4 linked regions of the Styela clava genome follow. The protein of the gene in region 4 binds, or shares a complex with, the protein of the main gene of each other region. Links are inferred from orthologs where the notes say so. Each region holds a gene or a part of one and is shown on either strand. Other genes may lie near its edges.

Region 1 (7,086 bases), on a different chromosome or scaffold from region 4:
CCCAGTCAAGTTAGTATCTTGGACCCTAGGCCCATTAGGGATGACAAAAAACCCAAATTCCAAACATTGAATATTTTTCAAATGAAAAATAATTTTGAGAAGCAGCATATATACAGATATCAAATTCTAACTTTCTTACTTTTGTTGTCTGTAACATACAATTAAAAGAACAACAGTTACCATCACATACCTCTTAAAGTATTAATTTCCTCACAATCAGGAACTGACCACAGTTTACACAAACCACTCCATGACGTTGTTGCAAGTATTTTAGAATTAGGACTGAATTTACAAGAAGATATTGGCCTTGAATCACCGATTTGACTTCCGACACTGTTTACCGCCTATTAAAAAAGTAAATATATTTGATCATTTGTTCATCATATTTGTTAGCTTGTGGTACAGTTGGTCAATTATTCCAACACCTACCTAAGCTGATAACCAACTAAAATATGTGGTTTGAGTTTTACTCTCAGGTCTTGAAAACTGATTTGGCTTGGCAAAATCACAATGATTACGGAGCCACAGTATATTCAAACTGTGGGTTCAGCTCCGAGACCTCATTTTTTTTACCTCACAGGAGTCACAGCCACGCTATAAACTACTCATTTCAGTGCACAATATAAAATAATTCAATAATTCGACTTTTATGGAATATCAAGTCCAAGTCCTTATATAATTTTCTGTTCGAGTAACAGCTGATTTTGTCAATGAACATACTCGCATATGCCTGTGTATCTCTTGTACCCTTGCATGTTTTTGTGTTGTTGATTGCTCCTGTTGTTCTCTCGCTTTCTGCAACCTTGCCTTCGCCCTGAAACAATATATAATATATTTCAGTAAAAAATTTTCCAAAAATTGACAATATCAAAACTACAATAATATGCCATGGCCTAGTAGTTGACTTAACTGTGATACACATATTAGGTTCAAATCCCATCCCCACTGTAGGCAATGATGAACTGGAAAGACTTGGATCTCCACAAAAATAGTGGCTCTTCATATATCAGTGGCATCTTGAATAGGGCCTTGTTCAGGACAAACGGTTCGAATAAACGTATATTTTAAGTTTCAATTTATAATGAACTGGCACCACTAGTTTACACAGAAAGTATTTAATTTCTAATTTACTCTATATTTTTACTAAATTACCACTTTTATCAGGTTAGTTTATATTTTATCAGTGTGATCAATAATCATTACTCTCTTACTTGAGCAATACTACGTTATCCAATCTTTCCTTGAAAAATCAAAAAAGTTACCTTGGAATAGAAAAGTCAGCAATCCACATTCTTGCTGCCTTTAGACTTTCTGGACCTTCGTGATACCATGTTGTCTTAGCGAGCTAAAAGGAAGAATATTATAAGCCTCTTTACACATAATCCGTTCTTTCAATCACAATCTCTTAATCAGTTTAAACGTTACCTCTTCTTTTTCTTTCTGGGCCAACAATTGCTTCTCTGAAATTTTGTTTTTCTTTAAATTATCTTCACCAATGAGTCCAATAATCTCACGGAGACGTTCCCTCCTGTCCGCAGGACCTTCACCAAACAAGGTTATGGGTTCGCCGAATTCTCGAAGTTGTTTTCTCACCTATTTTAATCACATAATGTTGTCTAATAGCTATTATTCCAATTTTTAACACAAATTGGGCCTAAACAACAACTTGAAAAGATATTATTACTGGAATTATGCTACTATACTCGATAGTTGGGATGGAATTGTACGAAGCAGAAAATGCGGGTATAAGAATGTAAGTGTTAGCAGTTCCACAAAAAAGTTTTCGTATGAAAATCCTCTGACTAGGAATATACCCTATTAGTAAAAAATCATTACTTTTGTTTGTAAAGTTTTATTCCTAGTTAAATCTGATGAAGTTTGTTGACTAAAAAATAAAACATGACATTTGAATGAACAGTCAAAAATGGGGCTTTTTAATAATTTGTCTTTGAAGATCATAGTAAGGATATAAGGCTTCCTATGCATATTATTTATGAATGCATAGTTTTTTTGTTTACAAATTCTGTGAAGCTATTAATTTTATGTAAACAGAACATGGTCCAAGCCAAATTCAGTTTTGACTTGATTTGATTTCCACTAAAAAGGTAAATGTTTTGAAAAAAAAACTTATAATCTTAAGCATAGGAAGTTATAATATTGAATTCTCATAATGAAGAGTTATTTACTTAGATTTTGGGGATCCTTATTTATAATTTAATACTAAGTTTAAAATGTGTTGGGGTAGTCAATTTCAGGACGCTTAAGTCGATCCAATATAATAATACCTCTACGTCATCTGTTGTAACTTGGATTTGTCGTAGCTGTTTCTTTCTTTCAAATTCAGCAAGAATTTCTGCTTGTCGTTTATTTATTCTGTCTTCAATTGACATTTCCATGGTATCACCTGTTAAAAATTTCAATTGAATAGGAAGCAAAATTCTCAGTTGAAAACATAATAAATTATGTTGCGTAAAAAGTTAGAGTGACAGCTCAGTGGATAAAGCATTGCACTTAGATATGTTGAAACCACATATTTAAATAGTGGGTCCAAATTGAAGCAAAACCTACTTCCTAATTAAAATTCTGATGCAATGGAAGTTGATATTAGTATATCTGTATATCAATTTAGTTTTACCAAGATGTGGCCTCGTGTGTTGTGTACCCCAATATAAGTGACTGCTTGTATACAGCCTTATTCAGAGAGAAATGCATGTAAATTGTGTTCACAAAAAACTATAAAAATGCTGTAATACAGTGATAAAAGTAACGCAGAATTCATAACATATATTATCAATACTTACTCATGTTGGTGATATTAATATTTCCTGCTTTAATTCCAAGCTGAATTGCTTCTTCCCCAGACATACCGACTCTGTTTTCAATGCTTCCATATTGGACAGTCTTCCTAATCTTTCTTGGAGCTTCACCATCAGAATCGGAGTCAGACATCCTTCTGTCTTTTTTATTTGGAACAGTTTACTTATTCATGCATATATCCAGATAATAATCTGTTAAGTAAAATACTCTCTTAACTCCCAGTCAACTTCTGTGTTTACTGGTTTATAACAGTACCGTATAAGCACAAGGCGAAAACCAGATATCCCATACGATAGTACAGTAGTATCAATGACTGAATGGGCAAACAGGAAAATCTGTTTTACCACGGTACCTTCGAAATCGGCCGCGCCAAGATGATCCCCTACTCACGTTACAAATTAATACCAAACAAACAGAAAATCTTCACTGATTGATTATGAAAAGCCGGAAAAATAGGTATGAATGTATTTCAGAATATGGCTACGACACTTTCCCACATGCAGACGGGAATATTAGCAACAGTGGCCTCGAAAACTCTCCTAAACACTGAAAAACCGATTTCAACAAATGCGCATGGAATCCTAACACAGTCCCGGAAAAGAACAGAAAATTCATACTGATTGATTATGAACAACTATAGACGAAGATATGTAATCGTTTTCATGCTATAAATATACCAGTGCGAGGCATGCACGCTAACAAGTGATAGGATTGAATCGGTACGTTAGTCGTTGGATTGAATGGAACAACCGCATTAAAAACTAATTTCAACAGATGCCGCATTGTGGGCGGAGCCTAGAGTGAGACTATGCGGCGATTGGTCCAAATAATATTGTCTGACTGTCTGGCCGGTTAATGCTTGAGTCGGCACGGTATAAAGTTGTGCAATCTTCAGACCTTGCGGCATTTATTTGCGTTTGTATCACCGTGGGCAGGTGGGGAGCAATGTCTGGATGTTGGTTGTCTTCCAAATAATAAACAGTGGTGTGGATGAGTTCTTTTTAAAATGCCTCGACAATATATTTGAAAATAACGTCGGAACAATCAGAGACTGTGTTCTGGCAATCGAGTTAGTTCAGGATTTATTGTTGGCTTGCAGACTTCATCGCTGTCTTACTTAACCTGTTAACGGAAAAAGCTATTTAGGTGAGTCGTTATGCATGTAGTTTTTGATGTAGGCATACCAGTGAGAATTTGTACGATTGTAATCAAATATAGCTTTTGAAACATGAAATAACCCACAATACTGCAATATTGAAATAGAGACAATGCCTGAATGCACAACAGTGCTGCAGTGGGATGACTGCTGATTGCAACATAGAGCTTACAGACTTTAGGATGTATGATACGAACAGAGCAATGACAGTTATCAATAAAATTATTTTCATGGTTGAATGTATGACAGTAAATTCAGTAATTTGTTTATATATTCCTTTCTGAAATATCTTGTTTTTGAGGCATTTTGAAAGTAAATTATTTTTATGAGAATGTTGAAAATTGTTTTGATATAGACTTGGCCGTTTATTTGTGATATGTTTTAGAAATGAAAATAAACCATAATTGTGCTTTTCAGGTGATCCACAATGTCAACAAGTTTTTGTTTAAGGCCGCTGATTGGTCGACTGAAAGGAAGGAGTATATGTCCACGTTTTTTCTCACAAGAGTCATGTTCAAATCAAGAATTTATGCAGAATCGTTATAACGAACTGAGAGCTCTTATTTTTGATGACCATCAACAGATTTGCAATGTTAATCCTCGTGGACTTTTTGCCATTAATCAAATCAATTTGGGAGAAATAAAAGTTTATGGATTTGACTATGATTATACTCTCGCTCATTATTCTGATGACATGCAAACATTCATATATGACAGAGCAACTGAAATATTACACAAACAGTTCCATTTTCCCAAAGAGCTTTTGAACTACAAGTACGTTCCAGGGTTCTGCATTAGAGGTCTTCATTATGACATTCAACGCAGTTTACTCATGAAAATAGATGCTTGTCACGTCATTCAATTGGGTTCAGTGTACAGGTAAAACAATTTGAATATTACATATCACATGTTAATAACAAAGATAAGGATGACAGCGGTGCAGTGTGCAGGTCACGTATTTGCTGGTCCAATACAGATTCTTTCACCAGCCATAAAAAAAAATTATAAAAAAACGTTTCCACTTGTTCAGTGTCTTTAAAAGTTACGAATCATGAAGGTTTGAAAACTTGTCATCCAAGTATTAATTGACTTGCTCACCTATTTCGAGTTTGAGTGATCATGCTTGCAATATGATTAAGACGTCTACTTGGCTTTCCACTGCCCCAGGATAAATATGAAGATCCCATATCTGAACATAGAATTGATAGCATCCAGATGCTGTGAATGCATCGAATATTTGAATACATCTGAGATATATTTTATACAATAGAGAAAAGGCATTTTTTCATTTGACCAGCTGAGGCGGAAGTCAAGCCAGTAGTGGAAAAAATTAGCACAACTCTTTATTTTTGAAAATCAATACTCATATAAATTTTTTTAATATCTGTTCTTAACAGGGGGCTAAAACAGCTTAGTGAAGATGAAGTACTGTCTCTATTTAAAGGAAGTCGTCATATTCCAAAACGTATCATGGATGAATCTCTCTTTGGAGGAAATTCTCTCAGACAGTTGCTGGATATATTTTCAATGCCTGAAATGATGTTGCTCACCAATGTCGTAGAGTATTTTGTCCAAAATAATATAACTTATGACCCACAGATTTTATTTGAGAGTGTGCAAGCAGCTGTCAAGCAAGTTCATGTTGGAGGTATGTTTTAGTTTATAGTAGATCTGAATATACCTGAATTGAAGCTCGACGACTATACATAAATCAAGTTATTAATTTTGTAACCCGAAATCATGAATCAGGATATAATTCTTTTCGAGGCTTTGGTGAAATTCCCTATATAATTCATTAATGACTATTATGTATTATACCTAATCTCTGATGTTAAGTCACCTGTTCATTAATTTTCAAGTACTGGATATAGTTCTGCATGATTTTCACACCTAATAGTCTAATACTGATCATCATTTGTAATTGATTAAGTTTAGAAGGTATTGATGATGTGAGAATGATTCTTTCATTTTTAACAATAGTAACCTTTTGAACCTAACATTAAATGCTGATTATTCATTAACCTGACTGTGCCTCTGAAACTTTAAATCTGATTCCAAATAGATATAAAACAACACCTGGTTGACTAAAATTGTAACTATGACAACTGTTCCAGGAAGTACAAAAAACAAATTGTACCCAACCCCACGATACCAATCTTCAGCCATGAAGATCTGTTCGAACTGGGGGGAATTAATGTGTGCCGGAGTATCCCATAATGTATATAACACTGTCCTCTGAAATTGCCTGATTGCAAAGTAAAACAACATTTGTTGACAGAATTTAGTATGGTGCATTGATATGTAGATATCAGTAAATGCTGTCAAGTCTTACAGCTATATCAATTTCAATTTTTTTCACATTAATGACCTGTAGACGTTGCATCATTATTGCAAATGCTTTACAGTGAGTAAAATTGGGTTTTGAAAAATGGTTGTTAGCCTAAAACCCATTTTTTCTCACTTCACATTGTCATTATTTGTTATGTCATCTGAATCAGCAAAAAATTCCTTGCAGCGTTGCAGGCTTGCCCGCACCATCACTACTATGGCTCTGAAATTGAAGCTCTGGTGTTAACCAACAAATCATTATTCTTTTTCAGGCCATCTTTTTCAAGAAGTTTATGGTAATGTGGATAAGTATCTTAAAAAGAATAGTTTAACTCATCTGATTGATCACTTAACATCAAATGGAAGAAAGTTATTTCTCATTACCAACAGTAACTTGCAATTTGTTAATGTTGGAATGAAGCATCTTATTGGGAAAGATTGGAGAGATGCATTTGATGTTATTATCGTTGAAGCAAAAAAGCCAGGATTCTTCCAAAATTACAAGAGGCCATTTAAAAAGATTATAGAATCATCTAGAAACGGTAACAATGGAGATAATAACCATACTGTATCATGGGAGAGGGTACATGAATTCACCAAAGGCAATGTATATTATGGAGGTTGTATACAGGACTTGATGCAAATATCTGGATGGAGTGGACATGAGGTAAGACTGCATTGTGTGATGACCTAGAGCAGGGGTGTGCAACAGGCGGCCCGCGTGCCATAACCCGGCCCCTGTCAACACTCAGATTTCCCCAATCAAGCATAAAATCCGAATCCGA
Region 2 (7,032 bases), on a different chromosome or scaffold from region 4:
ATTTGTGAGAATGTAGGTTTGCGAGAATGTAGCTTTTCAAGAAAGTACTTTTGTGAGAAGGTAGGTTTGCGAGAATGTAGTTTTGCATAAAGCCGTAAACGAACTTTTGTAAGAATCTAGTTTTGCGAGAACGGACTTTTGTGAGAATGTAGCTTTGCGAGAAAGTACTTTTGTGAGAATGTAGTTTTGGGGAAACGTACTTTTGTGAGAATGAAGTTTTGGGAAAACGTACTTTTGTGAGAATGTAGTTTTGTGAGAACTGAAAAGTATTCAAACTTTTGAGAACTATAACTACTCGAAAAGCCTTAAGAGTGTATTTACGAGACGAATAAACATACATGTATGTATGTTGAAGCGAAGTTACCTGGACTTCGAAAAAAAAAACACATTCCCTAACTACCAGCAAAAAAACAGCGCCACATATCTGGTTCGGATATTTATTTCCATATTCTACACTCGTTGTTATCTGAATGAGAAACTATGATTGAAATAAGAAAACCAACTTCCTGAAATATGAAAATATCCTGTTCCCACACAAATTTATTCAGTGTTCACATTGCAGCAGTTATTCTGTATTCCAAACTTGATTGATTAGTGAAATAACATTGGTACAAAAATACAAACACACAAAGCTGAAATTCAGGAATATTGCCAAAGCTTGAGGTTTAAAACACGAGACATTTTAGTTTAGGACGCCACCAACAAGGGCAAAGCCCGGGGAGAGAACATGTAAGGCAATTCAATTTCTCGAATATTGCAAGCATTGAGACCCACTAGCTGTTATGGTTTAACTTGGCAATTAAAATTTAAGAATCCCCTCCCCCCTTTGAAAATTCCTGGCTATCAAGTCCACGAACCTGAAGTGAATTACATAACTAAAAAGTACATACGGTAACTATTTTTATATCCACCCTAAACTTGTGACCAGACAAGAGACCGTAGTTCAAATTATCCATTAAAAGAATTCTCTCAAAAGTAAAGAAGACTCGCCTCTGAGCGAAGTCATGTGCAATCGCAGAAAGCGACCACTAAAAATATATAGAATCATGAAGCACTATGCGCACTCACCAAAAAGTAAAGTGGACTCATCTCTGAGTGAAGTTATGTGCAATCACTAAAAAAGTCAAAGCTACTGGAACAATATAGAATCATAATGTCGGGTGTCGCTGCTCGATAACCATTCCTGGTTCCCCGCGACTTCCCTTCCCCAGTAAAAATGTGTTTTCAGTTTTGTATTTTGTTAATTTCGTATGTTATTTTTTACTGAATGGGAAAAAATAAACTAGACTATGACTATAATGGTGCATTATGGGCACTCAATCAGAGGTAAATGAGACTCAACTTTGAATGGTTATTTAGCAAAAAAACTAATCATGAATCGAGCCACGAGCTAGTGGTATGTGAATAAATAATCAAGTCAACTTATCAGACAAGAATTTCTTTCAGTAACCACACAAGAATGACTTGTAGTAGTTTCTCCTCCAAACAGACACATCAAATTGATTCCCCTTTATCACTCTTGGGGTTTGGGTCTTTGTGGTTTTTTCCCTCCCTGGCCTCCACGTCCTCCCCCTTGTGACCTTCCACGACCTCCAAATCCACCTCTATTCGGGCCTCCTCCACGGCCCCTTGGACCTCGCCCTCTTCCGCGACCTTTAGAGAAATTTTCTTCTTTTACCATGTCGATAATTTCATCGGGAATTCGTAGATACTTGATTGTGCTGCCTCGTATGTAACACTCCGGCATTTTCCAAAAATGGTCGCCGTCTCTTGAAGTGCAGATGACTTCCTGAGACATGAAAAGATACATGAAAAATTAAAAATAGGGAGAGCTTTCATGTAACGCTCCGTCATCAATTTTCTGATCTGTTTTGTTCTGTTAATTTTAGGCAGGGGAATTACCAGGGGGGGGGCTTCGGTGTGTGGTAATTTGTGGGTTGAAAAGTCTATTTCACATCGGCCCTGGATTGAACATTTTACGAAACAGAAAAATCATTATCCGATGAAAAAGTTCATTTCAACTTAATCACGGCGCCTGTTTTAGAAGCTGGTGTGTTTATTCCCAATTTCAGAACCGCCCCCTTTTGAAAACCTGGCCCCTGATCTTAGGATAGGTTTGATGAGATTTGCCTGGAAGTTTAATACTTCATTTGCATCACCAAACATGTTGTTATTTAGTCAGATAACTTGAACACTGCATTGAAATGTAAAAAAAAAACAATCATTCATATGAACAAGCTCTTCGTATCATTTCAAACTTATAGCATTGTTCTAAGCTTTAGAATATACTCGCCACCACACCTCTGATTACCCTACATGGGTGTGCAGGTTCGAATCCCATTTGGGGATGGCTATGTGCAAGAGGATTTCTGGACTCCTTGCCCAATAGGGTGGTTTACGTAACCGCTGGTCAGTTACGGCTTCCTCCACCATCAAGTCCATGCTTCCGAAAACAAATAACTGACTAATCCCATACCCGACTTGGAATGGTAACCGGACGAGAGGCCGTACTTCGCTATACGACTAAGCCGTCTTAATGACTTTTCTCTCGCCAGGGACGAATATGTAAATCTTATTCTATCTCCCAGAGGATTCAACCTTCGAGGGGGAGGATCACCCAGTGTTGTGCCACGCCAAGCATCTCAACCCTGCTTCATAGAAATTTGATGAAATAACGATTCCAAATTTGAATGATCAAATCCATAACCAAGAGCAAAACCTACCCTCAGATTAATATTCATCCAATTATCACAATTAACCAGATGTCCGTTATACGTTTCTCCATTCTTCAATTCCACCAGCATGGGATGGTTCACAGCTGTCTTTAATAAAGATAAAGGTAACATTGCTAAAATTGCTTTGTCTAAGATTTACAATAACTGAAATAATAAGGAAAATTTGTTATATTTAGTACAGTTGTTTTGATACAAAAGCATATTTAGTATTCGGAATTACTTGATATAAACAATTAATGAAGGAAATTTTTATTTAAAACTTTATCATCAGCCGATAAATGAAAAGGTAGCATTGCTAAGGGCATATGTCTTACTAAGACTGAAATAAAAAAGAAAATTTGTATAGATAAGTAATTTATATATATTTAAAACAGTTATTCCGATACAAAAGCATATTTAGAAACACTTATGTTAAACAATTAATGAGAGAAATAATTAAGAATATTTTATCTATCTGTAATCAGTAGTTAGTTTTTTCACCATATTGTGAATAATTTTTACATACAGAACGAGGGGTGCTCCCGAAGTATGCGAACCAAGATGGCGGACATCGGAACGTAACATGGGTAACAGGTTAGGGTCAGGCGATAATTTTTTTCCAATTTTCCTTATTTTAGTCCTATTATCAGTTCGAAGAGCCTCCCGTAGTATTCATACCTAAAATTATGGCCTAACCCTAACCTAGTACACATATTACATTCCGATGTCCGCCATCTTGGTTCGCATACTTCGGGAGCCCCAAACGAGGTGAAAAAAAAAGCCTTTTTGGGTGAAAAGGGGAAACAATAAACCTGTGCTGGTTATCGAGCAGTGACACCTAGGAAAAGTCTAATATTAGGTCATACAAGAGTAAGAAGCCAAAATGATTAAAAACTAAAGCGAAGAGTGAATACTGTAATACTACGAATACTTCCTGAAATAATATTTTTGAATTTAAAATATCGAATACATTCTGAAATGAGTCTCTTCAAAAGAAGAAAATTGTAGATTCATAAAATCAAACTTGGTTAAGCGGAATAATTGGGATAAATACCGTTTTAATTGGTATTCTCCATTTTATTCTGTGAGAAGTTACTAATTTTTTGTCTGTCACAATATAATAAATGCTCAAAAAGACATTTTCAAAAGAAAATATTCAAAATTATTCCTGAATTCAAGAATTACGGCTTCCTCCACCATCAAGTCCATGCTTCTGAAAACAAATAACTAATCCCATACTCGACATGGAATGGTAACCGGACGAGAGGCCGTGGTTCGCCATATGGTTAAGACGTCCTATCAACTTTACTCTCTCTCGGAATAAATATGTAAATCCTATCCTATCCTAATTTACTAAATCGAATATAACCAATATCTGTTTTGAACGTCCCTGTGTGAAATTAATATTGATTGAAATCAAAAGTAGTTCCAAAGACATAATACAGTATTTAAAAAAATATGACACACTCGGAATTCTCAGCGGTTCCCAATCGGGGGCCACAGAGAAGTTGGAGGGAGGGCCACAATGCTTGGCACAAAACTGATTTAACTTTTCCCTTCACAAGAAAACCTCTCGTTCTTCCTAGTTTTATAGCCTGATAAGGTTATTTCACAGGGTGTTTTCGTTGCTTTTTTGTGCATGATGTTGTTTGAACATACGGTAATAGGATTTGGAATCGACCAATCAAAATAACGCTATAAATACCATTGGAATGATAAACAGCAGGCCATGTGTGTTAAGAGCCCTCTGAATGGGACCATGATCAATAGAAGGTTGGGAACCGCTGCTCTAAGCTATAGTTTTTCTTAATTCGAGGAAAACTAAGAATTTTATTATAAAGTAATGAAATAGTAAATGGGTAAAGAGACAACGCAGCGTTATATATAGCAGCTATTTATGTACTGATGAAAAGAAATACAGATTTTTCACAAAAACGAAATGAAAATATTGCAATTTTATTGCTATTTACGAAAATGAGAACATTATTATTTCTCAACAATTCTAGAATGAATTTTAACCGAGAATTAATTCATGATTTAAAAGAAAAAAGATTAAGAACCACCTCCAAAAAAAAAAAATATATATTACTCCTCAAGTTCTTCGGGGTAAATATAAATCGGTATATTTTTATTATTCTGGTCTTCGAAAAGTTTTTTCAGAGATCTCGTAATTGACGTTGGTAGCTCAAGACAGTCAATCTCTTGAAAAATATTTTCCATCCGGGAGTAATTTGATAATATATTCCGGTGGATTGAGTTTAAACACGACTGTTGTAAAGTTAATAAAGGATTCGAAACCCTGATTGTTTGGTATTCACGTTCGTGACTTGGTATCGGGAAATAAACAGAATGCCTTCCTGGAATTACCACTAGAGGGTGACGAGAGTTTGTTTCACAAAACACCCAGTAATGGCCGACGTAAGTAACAATTGCAACTGCTTTTCCTGGACGTAATTGTTTTATATAGCAAACTCGGTCACCTGCCAAATCAATCCACTCTATTGTGACATCATATTCAGTTTTGTTTGCAACCACTAAGTTCGATCTTGACAGTGAATCATGTGAGCATAGCTTTATCATTCTGGCAGGGGGTTCCCCCTCCTCCTCAGGACTTGACATGGCCTTTGCTACGAAGTGTTGTCTAAATACAAATGTTCAATGTAACATTACAGAGGTATTTTTATACGATGCCAATTCAGAGGTGGGCTAAGTTTATGGGTCAGGGGCCGAAAATTTTGCCCACGTTGACTGGCGGGCCACAAAAAGTTATTTTATGAACAATATTCACAGCTTTACAAAAGAAAAAGTGGAGAACAACAGGCTTCGCGCAAAAACTAAATTTAACTGCAATCTCAACAAATTTTTTGAGCTATTTTTAGCTTAACATCAAAATTTGGTTTTGGTTTGGTTGTGGCAGCATCAGGCGGGCCAGATTGAATCACTCAACATGTCAGATTTGGCCTGCAGGCAATACTTTGCCCATGTCTGCGCTAATTCATGCCTTCTGCTCTGAACATGGCCTCGCATAAGCAGTCATTAAAGCTTATTAACAATATGCATTATACAGGGCGGTCGCTAGAAAAGCAGAAAATTTGAAGGTCAGATGAGTTTACGAATAAAATAGGTATAATTGGAACGATATAAAGGGACTGAAACCTATGTGCAGGGGGTATATTCACTTGGCTAACACAGACAGTCACTGAAGTCGTAATAGAACTAAAATAAGGAAAATCGGAATAAAATTAGGGCCTTACCCTAACCTGGAATGGGAGTACCCTTATTTATGTACACATAATGCACTAATTAATCTGCACAAAAGGAGTCTGGCATGCTCATAACACTATCTAAGGATCGATTAAAGACTGAATAACTAAGGTAGTTCATATGGGTAGTGAGGGAGAAATAAAAAGTTAATAAGTAACGAGAGGAATTTAACGAACTAGGTTGGGCACCACTGTCCAAGCGTTGAAACACGCATATCATCAAACCACTGGAGGGATGCATGGAGAGTTAAGTGAAGTCCAACGCTAAGGACCCATTGAAGCCGTGATTGCCAATCATTTATGGCTCCTGGCCAGAGGCTTTCAGCACTCATGTCCCTCCATCTCATCATGTTCAAACAATTCCTGCTCAACAAAGTGAAACACTCTGTGAAATAACCTTATCAAGCAATGAAACTAGGAAGAACTGTGAGTTTTCTTGTGAAGAGAAAGGCAGAATCAGTTTTTCCAACTGATCTGTGGGCCACAGCCCCTTGATGGGAACCGCTGCATTGAAGATTGAATGATAAATTCATTTTATGCAATATAGTTTAAGTGAACTCCAACATTCTTACTGCCTACTTGATTTACAAACAGAATGAAAATAAACTCACCAGGTTTAATTTTAAGTAGGTGGTTCCCCCTCCTTTTGTTGAAGAAAGTAAATTATTTTATCTAGAATCTGAATTTCTAAAAATACATGCAGTGATTGATAATACAGATAATATTACAATAATAAAAAGTACATGAAAATAATAAGCAGGAAAGATTAATACCTGCGCTCCAGAAGTATGTGTACCAATATGAAAGTAACTAATTTTGTTCGCTTACTTCACATCATGTTGTGTGAAGGGACTGAAACCTATTGGCAGGGGGTATATTTACTTGGCTAATACAGACAGTCCCCAAACTCGTAATAGAACTAAAATAAGGAAAACCGGAATAAAATTATGGCCTAACCCTAACCACTAGATATTTTGGTAAGCATGGCTTCAGCTACAACAAAAGGTCAATTGGACCCCGAAAATGCTAATTGAATTGGATTACGTTTGTATGAG
Region 3 (6,700 bases), on a different chromosome or scaffold from region 4:
ATGTGATTCACAAGTTGCCCTTGGGGAACATGCACAATTCTACAGGGTACGTCATACACATAATCTATGCATATTGATATTTCGAAAGAACCAATCCACTCTTTTGACCCCATAAATGAATGCTCCTTATCACCCATTGAAACCAATGCATGCTGAACCTCTGATATAGATGGTACATGTCCTGTAATTTTATCATAAATTTTGTCATTGTTTGTGGTTTCATTTTTACTTTTTGTCCTGTTTTTCTGTTTATGATAATGTATCCAACTGCACATAGTCTGTAGAGTTCTGTAACCACAACCCCATCCTCTGTCGTCTACTCCATCACATAAATAATGATAATACGCATATGTGCCTTTGACCGCTTCAACTTTACAATTCTCCAAAGACTCATTCAATAAATCACGGTGGATATCATGGGGTAATTCATCAGGGAATTTTGTTGATTTGACCGGTGACATGCTCATGGCTATTCAAATTTATCAATCAGATTCAGCATACTAAAATATGAAATCACAAGACCTAAATAGTTCAAAGCAGTATTAGGTACGAAAATTGGCACGAAATTGTTATGATTGAAATATGGTTCATGTGGATGAAATGGCAACAATCACTAACATACAAAACCAAAAAAATTCATCAATTTGTCAGTGTAGGTTGATGCAAAACATGCCAGATAAAAGCAGCATAAATGGTAAAAACATGATTCTTATTGGTGGAAAGAGATAATGAAAAACTGCAATGAATTTTTGGGTCACAGTAATGTATATCAAGAAGATAGAGCAATCAGCTTTGTATTGACTATCAAAAATTACCTTCTAATCATGTCATAAATTTTCGATTGAATATGTTAATGAATTCTCCCTGAAATTTCAACCGATAAAATAGATTTTGATAACTGTATTTTGAGATACAAAACATACATTTAGATTTTGACTATGCTCTTATTCACCTTTTACCAATTACAATGGTGAATTAAAATAATGAGGCTCTTAACGCCAGACATATTTGTTGCAAGATATTCACTGCTTTCTGAACTTGGTATGAATCAAACACTGAGATGTCAATTTATGTGAACATTGTAGGATACTATGACAGAATTGTGATGCAAATTCATGATTTTATTTTCTCAGAGATAAATACACTTCAAAACTGCTACTAAATTTGGAGTTCAGGAAATATTCTTCAAAAAATTCCTGACCAATTTTTCCGGGTTTAGTGAAACAAGAAAGACAATAAATAAAACCACATCGCCATCCCTATTTTATGCCACACTGGCATATGCTTTAGGTAATGTAAATAGCAGAATATTTATTGTTCACATAACTAAAATTCAAGTTTGGTCATTTTTTTGTCTCGTCTCAGTGGTGAGAAATAAGACAAATTTTAGATAGCATAATTTTCAAATAGTGATACTGCAACATAGAGCATCGATTTTCAATATATTAATAACTTTGGAACAGATAGTTCATGAGTGTAAGTACTGTCCATAATTTGACTCAGTATTGATAATGAGATATTTTGTCAATACTCGAGACATTCTCAATGTATGCAATATTCTATCATGTGAAATGCGCTAGTTTAAATTTCATTCACACTAAATTGCACCATAAATGTCTCTCATTGTTTGCTTTGCGCAGCTTCTTTTCTTGCTGCGTCTTGAAGTAGTGTTGTGTCGACCTCATCAGCTGGAAGTTGCACATATCGAACAACTGACCCTCTTATAAAACAATTTTTCACAGATAACATATGTGGATATTTTTCTGGATCTGTTACACTTATGTCTGTTAATTTGATATTCAGATATTGATCCACTGAATGTAAAGTTCCACATATACTTAAATCATTCTTCAGTTCCACAACAACGTCTTTTCCCACAAGTGATTTAAAAAATGAGTAGAATAACATGATTCCTATCAAAATGAGATTCTGTATTAATACTGTAATAAGTTTATCTTACTGACCAGGCAGCACTTTGCTACCGTATGTCAATAAATAAACAGTTCAAAGATTTTTATATAGTATATAAGTAGTCTAGCCTAACTGTAATTTCTGAAATTAGAAATATGATAATACTGTAGTAAATATCAGTTTTATAGATAACTTCCCTCGGAGTCGGACCATAGCCAGATAGCCCAGCAGCTGTGAAAAATTTTGCATTCTGGTTCCAACTTGTAATATTCATCCAAGTCATTGGTATTCGTATATCATATACAGATATACTATCTCACTACAGCACCAATCACACCAGCCCACCATAGCTAAATAAGTTTAAATATTGGTACATTAACAGACAAGGTCTATATTTCTATCACTGTAGGCATTTTCTGGCGCTTCATCGTGGTTGTTGGATAATCCGGAACTGAAATTCTGTCGGTTAACCGGATCAAAAGTAACGATACGCCGGTATGCGTAATATCAATTAAGACGTTAACTTGATAATTATGATGAAGAAATATGTACCGGTATGAAGACTCTTCGTCACACAACAAACAAACTATCTAACTCGGGTGTCATTTACAGTTTACACGACTCAACAGTCAGCGCGTTGTACGTCCTACGAAATGTAAAAAATTAAAATTTTATTATAGAAACAATAAACGCAAAAATGCATGATTTTCTTTCTTGCAATGTATGTGCGTATATTTCAAGAAAGATTACTCTAAAAAATTTACAAACGCTGTTAGCAGCAAGAGGTTTATAAAATAAATAATAAACTAAACGGCAATAAACATAAAAATAAAATCAGTCTCCGGTAGATGCTCGACTCAACACTCGACATCATAATAACATTTTTATATGAAATCAACAGAAAATTTGAAGAAGAATATAAAAAACCTTACAATAACAGAATAATGGGAAAATATATAGCAACAACAAATAAACGATTTACCCTAATTTGATGTAAATTTATGAGAACAAAGTTAATTTTTCCCAATTTTCTAATAATGAATTTCGTAGAAACCAAGTTTTCAGAAACATGTTTTTATTAACATCAATAACAAATAAATTCATTTTCTCGGGGTATTAAAACACAGATTCAAATATTTAGATGTAAGTTTCTATCCGTACGACGTACATAGTTGGTGTATTATGTTAATATGATTTTCTGCTTATGACGTGTTACGATATTATGTTCGTTTTTATTATTTGTAACGCTTTGTCAAACATATCCTATTTAATCTCTGGGAATATTTGACAAAAAAAAACAGAACTCATTGAGGTGCAACAGCATATAAAATGAATGACTAATTCGAAACAATTTTCAGAAAATGAAAATTCATATGCCAGAAGACCACGATCGAAAAGTAGAAAGAAGCCTCTTAACAAATACATTAAATTTGAAAAAAAAATGCATCAGACATTTAGGTGAAAGTTTTTCACGCGTCGACCTTTCAATGTTTGCTAGCTCTGGTGATAACAAGACTGAATTACTTTGTGGATTCGCGCAAACGACCTGAAGGGTTATCAGTAGAAGACGAATTGCTTTTTCTTAATTTCAAAACACCAACCAGGAAACGAAAGCATTGGACTTAAAATAGTTACAATTGCTCTTTTCTGACCTTACCACGTGTGAACTTTTTGTCATGTATGTTTGTATTAATATATATATTTTTAATTCGAATAATTGCTATCTGGCCTCATTTATAAGCTAAACACGATAACAAAGTAAACTATTTACGGTTCGCGCAAACGACCAAAGCACCTACCTAGATCAATAGAGGACAAATCGCTCTTCTTACTTTCAAAAAACCGAAACATAAACGATATCCGGTGCGATACAAATGCGAAATATATTTGTGAAAAGCGTGTTCAAAAAACAATGAAACTGTTATGATCAATCTTACTTTGTCATTGAGTAAAATACCACGAACATTTTCATTTGAAAAGCTGTTCAAAAAATCAAATCTAAGATATTGAGTTGGCAGAACCAAACTTTGTGATCTATGGATATAACTATTGAAAGCTATTGTGTTTTTATATAAAAGTTGTAAGCTACTATTGATATCCACCGTATCTCCAGTATATATATCGTATCGACTGCATGCAAAGGTATTTATGGTTACACAATGTTGGGAATTGAAAACAAATTCAGCGAATGGGGAATGTAACTAAGATTTATCGCCTCAATCAATACTTTTTATTAATTATGTGTAAATTCAATGAATAGGTAATTTTCTCTATTTCCTGATTATGATTTATCACAACAAGCAACGAGTCGTAGCAATGCTTCTTTGTATCGACCGATTTGTGACGTGTTCCCGGCCTTCATTGGAGAGTTGAGAATAAAACAAATAAAAGAATAAAATGTTTTGTGCCTTTCTTTACTGCCGCACAATTCCGCACCCATGGGCAATTGTACCCATACATTTGCACCTTAGATTTTAGCACCCCCATACAAATTACGCACGTTTGCACCCAGATACATTTCTAATCACGAACATTTGCACCCATGCAAAATCGTGTTAGATATATTTATTATACACACCAAAAATATCTTTAAACTATTTGAAAAAGTAGGCTATGTAAATTTTCGGCAATTTTCAACAATGGTGGAAGCTTTGTAATATGTTTTGCTATCTGCGCGATAGAATCAATAATAATACACCATGTGTTGTTTAAGTACTACAAAAATTTTATAGCTACGAAGACCAGAACCAATTAAAACTTTCTCAGCCTCTTTTCGAACTAACTATACAAGTGCAACTGTAGTAGATTCTATCCTTCCCATTCAGCTTCAAACCATGTGCCAGCTACTGGTGATCCGAGGCCGTATTTTTCGGCTATCTTCTTTGCACTTTGGCCACCTCTGAATCCGCCATTTGGGCCTATTTTCTCGTCCATAAACTTTATTTTGTCCGATTGTTGGAAAACTAATATGACGTAACGGTGTGGGCCTAAAAGTGACACAATATATATAATTAAAATATGATTTTTAGCTGTTCTATGTTCAAAATTTTTCCAAAAATACTGCAGTATTTATGCAAAAGAAGTTTATTTAATCTCACTATGGAGAATCATATCTATGGATAATACCTGTTCCTTTGGGAGGCGTAGATCCCATGTATGTGGTGATTACTTCTCCTTCGTTTACGTTATTCTCTGGGATATTGATGACGCCCCAGTGAAACCATTCGCGAAATGTTGGATTTTTCCGACTAGGAGCATCTAGGTCCATCATTAACAGGGTATAAAATTGATCTTTCTCCGCAGTCCATTTGACTGTAGGTGCAAACTTTACTTGTGTTGGTGTCAATTTCGTTCCCCCTTTTTTGACATCTATGCTTCCAAAAGACACTTCTGTCTGCTCGCATGGTGTATTAAGATTTAAATCAGATTTTAGATCATGCTGTATCCAATCTTGGCTGAATGTATCAGTTTCCGCAAGTACTTGGGAAAAATCATCACCGATAACTAAATTGAAAAATGGAGAGAACTTAATGTTGCTCTAAATCAACGCAATGTAATGCATTATACATTTCCTATTATTTAAGTTTCTACAATTTTCAGTGCTACCATGGTTAATGATTTTTGTTTGAATAAATGTAAAGCAATTACTCCTCTAATGAAAAACTATTCAAATACTACATTACTACTCATATTTTAATATCAATACAAATATCACGCGACGAATTAATATTTTTATACAGTATAGGTAAGTCACTTTAAAAGTGAATTATCAGTGTGTTGAAATTCATTAATTCAAGTGCGCTATCACAACACCATTGCTTAGGAAATGTAAAGATAATGATCCAATAATTGTCTCAAATTTCAGATTGGAGAACAATGAACTACAAACACAATTTTACCAACTTACAATCATTGATAAACATATCTGACATCCAAGCTGTTAATAAAATCAATCAATAAATAGATGAACTATCCATCAGTTAATAAATTAAGTTAACAAATTATCTAATATACTCACATTCATGTCCGTAGCAACTGTAAAAATATAAGAAATATAATTATTTAGTACAAATGCGTGAACAAAATGGTTGCTTTTTCTGCAATTCTTATAAAAATGACTGTTTACATTTCGAAACCCAAATAAATATAAATTTTAAATATAAACGAACATATGTAATTGACTCTTGTGTTCTGTTATTTGCAACAGTGAAATATGTTTTTATTTCTATGCATTCTTGTGCATATACAAAATGCCAGACTATAATTTCCTGTTGCAGCAGATTTACAATAATCACATTTTTTTGATATCTGAAATTACGCAAAATTAAATAAGTCAATGAATATAAATCGATATGACGGGTAACGTAATATACATATACAGCCACTAACGTACATATACAGCCAAGTCAATAAACATAGGATAGGATAGGATTTACATATTTATCCCGGGGGAGAGGAAAGCCGATAAGACGGCTTAACCATATGGCGAACCACGGCCTCTCGTCCGGTTACCATTCCAAGTCGGGTATGGGATTAGTTTTACTGTATTGTTTGTTTTCGGAATCATGGACTTGGTGGTGGAGGAAGCCGTAACCGACCAGCGGTTACGTGAACCACCCAATGACGGCGAGGAGTCCAGCAATCCTCTCGCACATAACCATCCCTGCATGGGATTCGAACCTGCGAACGCACGCAGAGTAGTAAGAGGTGCGGTGGCGAGCGTATTCCTAACGCTTAGCCCGTTGAGCCACACCGTCGCGCCGCGCCGCGCCGCGCATATACAGCCATT
Region 4 (7,016 bases):
ACTGGAGGACCGTAAACTAAAACACCTCTTTCAAGAGGTCTCTCGTAACGTCAAAAAATAACAAAAATATTTACACTCTCTCATTCTATCAGCTGATAGACGTCTACAGCTATTGTAAAGCTGAAATGTGACTATACAGTTGACTGCACATTGGTTTTCTCTTTCATATGATACTAAACGCTTTTCCATAGCGCGCGTTGTTGAAGCGTTTTGGAAATTTTCCGTTTGAGAAGTCACCACATCGAATCAGGCCAGGCTAAGCTTGATAGATCGATCGGTTGTTTGTTTGTGCTTTATCGCGTTGAAAGCTTTTGTGAGTCATAATAAAACATTTATTATGAATCATAAAAGCTTATAATCGTCAGACAAGGAGAATTTGCGAGATAAAACGCCTAACTTTTTTTCGGTGAGGCAGCTGCGATCAAACGACTCGATATTTTTATAACTTCCTGACGTTGTGAGATGTCCACTCTTCTATGTTATGTAGCATATAAAATGACCTTCAAAATAAGACCTTATCATACTAGCTTTTGTTATTGGTTAGCGCGCAACGCCAAGGTTTATGGAATCATTTTCTTGTTGTGCGACGTTTTTATATCGCAGCGGGAAGTACACGCGTGATATGTAAGCGAAATTTTATCACTTCTAAATGTCATATAAGGTTCATTCTCATATCGTTGTGTGGGGAATAAGATTTCCTTTCAAGCAAGACCATAACAAACATTCCAGACCTCATGGTATACACACAGCATTGCAAAACGTCGCGCATGCGTCAAACCGGGAGGATTAGGATAATTGGAAGGAGACCACAAAACTGATTTTTAAACTGAAGTCCAAGCTTATTTGTACAAATAGTTTTTGGACTAAGTATTTAGGAGTCAAACAAATAGATAAAATGTCCAAAGCAATTTAAATAATACCACTACACTGCTTCACATATTAAAATCCGGAAAAGTGAAAACTACAGTAAGCCTTACAGAAGTTATATAATAATTTTATCAACATATCTCGCATTTAACATAGCATAGTATTTTCCATATTTATCCATATAACAAAGATACCTTTTAATAACATATATCAGGGGTCGAGGCTCTATCCATTTACCAGTCCACATTGGTGTGAAATAACTAACCAGTTGAAAATCACAAACTGTGGAGTGAGGCTTGCAACAGTAATGAGTACAGCAATCCCCTTGAATAATGTAACTACATAGTAACGAGTAGGCTACATCATTTCCCTTGAACACACATAATTCCAATATCCGAGCACACACATGGGAATCAACATTGAAAGGAGAAGGACACAAAAAATGATAAATTGAAAACAAGAGAATTGAGAATATAAAACACAAAGTCAGAAAATTCCCTTACATTTTGAATATTCCCATCCTGAGTGTGTTTTTTGCCAGGACTGGAGGCATCTTTGAACAGGTGCATTGGCAGGGCATTTCGTTGATGCCATACTTTAATCATGGAGTCACCACAAGAAATAGAAGCAAACAAAGTATCATCAGGTGCATATTGAACATCATGCGGATTTTCTTCTATTCCGCTGCTCCAAGCCAACTCCCATTTTACTTCTGAAAAATGTTACGGATTTCAAATGTGAATATAATGTTGGCATAGAAAATTCATTGACAAGTGGGAACCATGTATCAACGATTTTTGAATGAAAAAAAGGCTGCAAATCCGTTTTATAAAGTATTACATATTTTCACTCCAAAGACAGGTCATTCCAGCAACTACTCAGAACGCTACTGGGTTGCAGAAAAGAGAACACTTTTTGGTATTCCCGAAGTATGTGAACCAAGATGGCAGACACCTAAATGTAGTATGTGTACCAGGTTAGGGATAGGCCATAATTTAATTCCAATTTTCCTTATTTTAGTGTTATCACGAGTTCGGGGACTAGCCAAGTGGCTCCTGCAGTCTTTGTACTTGAAATTATCGCCTGACCCTAACCATCTTGATTCACATGCTTCGGGAGCACCCATTTTTTTGCTTTCTTATAGCCTACACAATTTCACACATCCAAGTTTAACAGAAATTAAAAAAATTTCTGTTTTTGAAATATAACCATCAGTCTACCTTGAGGTACAGCTTCTTCTTCTGCTGTAAAATTGTCTTCTGTCTCATCTTCTTCCTCAACTAAAATATTGCAAAACAAAATTGAATAAAACATAAGTAATATTTAGAGTGAATAAGCCAAACGAATACGAGAAAGTCAAAATATGAAACTCCATAACTAGAATGATAGATTTCATTGATATCACAAGAGGGAAAAAATGATTATGATAACTGTGATAAAACTAAATTGGTTCTGTGCTGGTTATTTCAATGTCCCAGCATGTACTATCCCTCACAAGCAAACAGCCTGACTTAACTTAAGAGCTGTGAATTCTGAGACCTAGAGGTAAAGACGCAGGCTGGATATTTCATAAATCATATTTCGTAAACGATATTGCAGTTTGCAAAATTTTAGACGTCAGAGGTCAAAAAAAATTTAAACCCATAGGAGACAGGAGTTGAAATTTTGTAAAACTATGCTACACTGGAGTAGGGAAATAGAATCTAAAATACTCTTAATTCGTAGTTGTGAGTTCCGATGGAAAATACATCTGAATTGTCCTTTCAGATTTAGATTAATATTTGTTTGTTAGAAATACAAATAAATCTCACTTTCTTCAATAGAAAATTGCACTTTTAAAGTGTGACTCTTTGGTTCTTTTGCAGATTCTTTTTTGATCTCATACAGTAGTATCTCATTGCATCCAACAAGAAGTCTTTCACCTTCAAAATAATATTTGACAAGATATCATTAATAGTAAAACAAGCAGAGAAAATATGCGACAATAAGACAAATAAATTTATTTTGCGTCTACTCTAAATATACCGAAAAATGTCTTATATTTGTTGAATGAAAAATTAGAACATCTACATCTCAAAACTGATTTACTTACGACCAATTTCAAATTTAAATAAGTTGGTTAATCACACCAAATAAATGTAGAGTAACATACTTGCGTGCTACTTCGGATGCTATCTCAGCGGTTCTGTGATTTCAGACACATTAGTTAGCGTTCGGAACTGAATCCTATGAGAATGTCTTCATTAGATTAAACAATTGAGATCATGTTAAGCAAGTGAGATCGCATACCAAAGTGGCACCCAAAATTTTTATGCAATAATAAATAATTAATATTAAAACATAAATATATATATATTAATAAAGTCAATGCCATACCAGTAGATGCCCAGGACAAAACAGTTGCCCGTCCCACACTTTCTTTCAATGTTAATGTTGTTTCTTCAATCCATGTAAAAACCTGAAAAATGTATATTTTAATAAAAATGGTTTCAGTTTGTATCATTGCCTGTGAAGTTATGCGAGACAAATACTCACCGGTACATCGTCATTTTCGTTTCGCAAAAGTTTTGGATGATATATAACAATGTCTCGTCCATATGAAACAGCAATCTAGAAAACAATATGGTGGTAAATGATACAATAAAAGTATTCCTGCAAGTTGCAATTTCAAATATTGATCTATTCAAAATAATCATAGTGAATGCTTTGTAGTTCGTAACACACTTGTAAACAATAATTCTGTGACATAAATAGCAGAAAATGCTATTCAATTTCATTCTAAGCTTTTAAAATTCAGAAAGTATTTGTACAAATATTCTAATTTAAACTAAATTGGCCTTCAACACAAACTGTTTATGGAGTGGCCATTCATTGAACATACCTTCAGAAAATTAAAGTTCTAAAAATGTTCAACTAAAATTTATAAGATTTTGATAAGACAATTTCACCTAACCTCCCCAAATAAGTCTTTGTACAGAAAGCTACTTATTAGTGGCATGCTGCATAGGTTCAATAAAAATAACCTATGTAAACCATGGCACTTTTACAATGAAGTAGAGGACATAAATTGAGATTGAACAAAACGAGGCTTGATCTCATGATCTCTAACATAAAGTGACAGACTGACAGTATACTCAGTCCTCTACTTAGGATATCATACCCACAAAATTAAAATATAGTTTGCCAAATACTGAAATAGATATAAATATAGCCTACCTTTCCAACAAATTGACAGCAATCCAGACAAGTAATAAGTTTGTACCCTTTTACATGACCAGGTATAATGTGAATGGGTTGAAGATCTACTCCCAATATTACCAGATCACATCCTGATCCATATGCCTGAATACAAAATAATTTCGGCTATAAGAACTTAATCTACAAACGACTGCAAATGGTTGTGTATATTATCTTGCTACCTTACCCAAAACGTGAAACTTGCAATGCTGCCTACACTGAAACAGTGATTTCCTGGGTTAACAGCTCCAGTTAAAACTTGATGTCGCCGCATCCCGGTACATTAAATTGTTTCAATTAAACGACAAATTCCATACAATACAACAAAGTCGCAAATTACAAAGACCAAGATACTCTATCTACAGACCTAAGGAACCAGTCAGCGAAAGACATAAACAAAGTCGATTGATTGACGTTTGGTCGATCAAGATTTCACAACAAAAAATCAATTTTTATCTGGGTTAATATATTTGATTACTAATGGCTTATATGTATATTTTTTAAGTACAAATATGAAAATATAGGTTATTATTTTTACTTTCAAAACAGTATTCCGTGAATTATGGTTTTGTAGAAAAGGGGAAATATAAAAAAGTTATCGGTCATGGGTCACTAGTTCTATTGGTATCCCCGCCTATGCCACGCCTCCAACACATTTCGATATGGAACGCGGGGATCAGGTAATTTAGCGCAAAAGAGCTAAGAAGCCTTGGGAATTTATTTGTCAAGCCTATTCGAAAAATTGTCACTTACCTAGAAAACTTGTGCTAGAGTTAAATCGCGGCAAAATGGCAGATGATGAGCAGCCGGTAAGAAATTTAATATTTGGTAATGAAACTTCAGGATAGATTTTTATTTCATGAAAAAGCTCTCTCCATGCAGCAATGATATGAGTTTCCTGTTCAATTTAGCACTCCTTACAAAATTATTCATACGGTGTGGCGAATATCTTTTTATTACTTTGTCTAGTTTTCATTTTTGTTTATCTTAGGTTCCTAGTTTGTTTTTCAATTATTACGGTACTGCATTATGTCTTTTCGGTTGTAGGCCTATTAATTTAATTCACACACATAAATAGGATTCACATATTTATCTCCCGGGGAGAGGTAAGTCGCTAAGACAGCTTAACAATATGGCGAACCAGGGCCTCTCGTCCGGTTTCCATGTCGGGTATAGGATTAGTTGTTTGTTTTCGGTAGCACGGACTTGATGGTGGAGGGAACCATAACTGACCAGCGGTTACGTGAACCACTCTATGACGGCGAGCAATCCTCTCGCACATAACTATCCCTGCATGGGTTTCGAACTTGCGAACCCACGCAGAGTAATCAAAGATGCGGTGGCAAGCATATTCCTAACGCTTAGCACGATGAGCCACACCGCCGCACCCCTACTCTTATGTAAATGATTCTGTAAATTTCAAACCTTATCTAAGGTTTTGTTTGCTCTCCTGATTCTGTAGTCGAAACAGACTTATACTTACAGTACGACACAGTTCTCAGATTCAAAGGATAGCCCCTACATCAAAAGATATCATTTATTACAGTGAGTGCAAACCCCTCTTTTAAGAGACAGTCTGGGCCTCTACATTGGCAAACCATTGCAGTCGTGCCAGATGCCCTCGTTTCAGAGACATCTTGGAATTAGAGAACTGTGCCCTACTGACTTACGACTGAAAAATGCTCAAATAACTTACATATAATCTTACTTTTACAGCCACCGCCAGTCACACAGACAGTAGAAGAGCCTCTTGATCTGATTCGATTGAGTTTGGACGAAAGGGTTTATGTAAAAATGCGAAACGAACGAGAACTTCGTGGTCGACTACATGCATACGACCAACATCTTAACATGGTTCTCGGAGAAGTAGAAGAAACCGTGACCGCAGTTGAAATTGATGAAGAGACTTATGAAGAAATTTATAAACAAACTAAAAGAAACATTCCAATGTTGTTTGTGCGAGGTGATGGAGTAATTTTGGTGTCGCCACCTCTTCGAGGAATGGCATGACACTGAAGTTTTTAACCATTGCACAAATATTTTACAACTAACTGAATGCTGTTCAGCATAGTCAGGAATATGTTGCATGAGCAGCATCCTTTAAAACAGGGAAATACATTAAAACCCTGGCAGTTATGCTGAAATTTAATAGGGGAGACAAAATTGAAAGATATACTCAGTTTCTTTTAAAAAGACAGTACAATTTCCTAATAAAATTGGTGAATGGTGTTGACTTTCGTACCACAAACTTTGCTCGAATCATACTTTTATTGTTAATCAGTGCTTTTCTTCCACCACCTATGCTTAAATCCATGATTTTGGAAATCCATTGTCATTGATATCACGACTTTCTTTTCCTTCAATAATATCTGACTAAAAAGGCATACTACGATCATTGAGTATGTATGATTGCGTACATTTAGAAAATATGCCTATTTAGAGGATCCTGGGATCAGAACTGCAATTAATAAAAGGGATTTGCTTTATTGGAATATTGACAACAGAACAAATTTGCGACCCACTGGTTGAAGAACTCCAAGTGTCTCCAGACTCCCACACCTTTACTGAATGGCCAATATTAACTTCTCCAGGCTGAATCATGGTGCTAAACACGAACAAATTTTTGCATGAAGTTTATCGAATGCACAGAATCCTGTCCTGCTTCGCTAGTATATAAACCTAATCAGCAGTATTACAGAAATAAACCAGAATTCCCCTTGACCACACTTTTTTGCTATTCCAAACAGTCATAAACACGGTTTATAATCAAAACTGTATTTTAATGGTCCGAATGAGAGCAAAGTGATCAAGGCTGTTTTGTTGTTTACTTCATGTTTCCAGGAACACTTATCAATCACTATATTGTAAAGGACGAGATACCAGAAAGCGCAGAGACCACAAGAACAGTTATC

What was found.
Region 1: U6 snRNA-associated Sm-like protein LSm3 (region 4) and U4/U6 small nuclear ribonucleoprotein Prp4-like share a complex: the UniProt entries of both Homo sapiens proteins name them as parts of the precatalytic spliceosome. The link is inferred for Styela clava from reciprocal best matches to the Homo sapiens genes LSM3 and PRPF4.
Region 2: U6 snRNA-associated Sm-like protein LSm3 (region 4) and U6 snRNA-associated Sm-like protein LSm4 share a complex: the UniProt entries of both Homo sapiens proteins name them as parts of the precatalytic spliceosome. The link is inferred for Styela clava from reciprocal best matches to the Homo sapiens genes LSM3 and LSM4.
Region 3: U6 snRNA-associated Sm-like protein LSm3 (region 4) and U6 snRNA-associated Sm-like protein LSm2 share a complex: the UniProt entries of both Homo sapiens proteins name them as parts of the precatalytic spliceosome. The link is inferred for Styela clava from reciprocal best matches to the Homo sapiens genes LSM3 and LSM2.

What each region holds. Positions count from the first base shown.
Region 1 is NC_135254.1:14,596,022-14,603,107, forward strand, and holds the start of U4/U6 small nuclear ribonucleoprotein Prp4-like, read right to left. Parts: upstream 3,023-7,086; 5' UTR 2,950-3,022; coding exon 2,802-2,949; intron 2,405-2,801; coding exon 2,286-2,404; intron 1,594-2,285; coding exon 1,426-1,593; intron 1,346-1,425; coding exon 1,263-1,345; intron 815-1,262; coding exon 721-814; intron 345-720; coding exon 191-344; intron 1-190. Other genes in the region: 5'-nucleotidase domain-containing protein 3-like, read left to right, coding at 4,401-4,852, 5,371-5,621, 6,574-6,968. UniProt on the Homo sapiens protein: Plays a role in pre-mRNA splicing as component of the U4/U6-U5 tri-snRNP complex that is involved in spliceosome assembly, and as component of the precatalytic spliceosome (spliceosome B complex).
Region 2 is NC_135262.1:751,457-758,488, forward strand, and holds U6 snRNA-associated Sm-like protein LSm4, read right to left. Parts: upstream 2,903-7,032; 5' UTR 2,847-2,902; coding exon 2,724-2,846; intron 1,790-2,723; coding exon 1,514-1,789; 3' UTR 523-1,513; downstream 1-522. UniProt on the Homo sapiens protein: Plays a role in pre-mRNA splicing as component of the U4/U6-U5 tri-snRNP complex that is involved in spliceosome assembly, and as component of the precatalytic spliceosome (spliceosome B complex).
Region 3 is NC_135250.1:9,209,702-9,216,401, reverse strand, and holds U6 snRNA-associated Sm-like protein LSm2, read right to left. Parts: upstream 2,048-6,700; 5' UTR 1,909-2,047; coding exon 1,621-1,908; 3' UTR 523-1,620; downstream 1-522. Other genes in the region: ufm1-specific protease 1-like, read right to left, coding at 1-467; protein D2-like, read right to left, coding at 4,720-4,898, 5,038-5,415, 5,819-5,848, 5,930-5,946. UniProt on the Homo sapiens protein: Plays a role in pre-mRNA splicing as component of the U4/U6-U5 tri-snRNP complex that is involved in spliceosome assembly, and as component of the precatalytic spliceosome (spliceosome B complex).
Region 4 is NC_135261.1:10,469,727-10,476,742, forward strand, and holds U6 snRNA-associated Sm-like protein LSm3, read left to right. Parts: upstream 1-4,751; 5' UTR 4,752-4,892; coding exon 4,893-4,913; intron 4,914-5,820; coding exon 5,821-6,114; 3' UTR 6,115-6,488; downstream 6,489-7,016. Other genes in the region: dmX-like protein 1, read right to left, coding at 1,371-1,579, 2,088-2,147, 2,679-2,789, 3,244-3,325, 3,403-3,477, 4,084-4,209, 4,292-4,378. UniProt on the Homo sapiens protein: Plays a role in pre-mRNA splicing as component of the U4/U6-U5 tri-snRNP complex that is involved in spliceosome assembly, and as component of the precatalytic spliceosome (spliceosome B complex).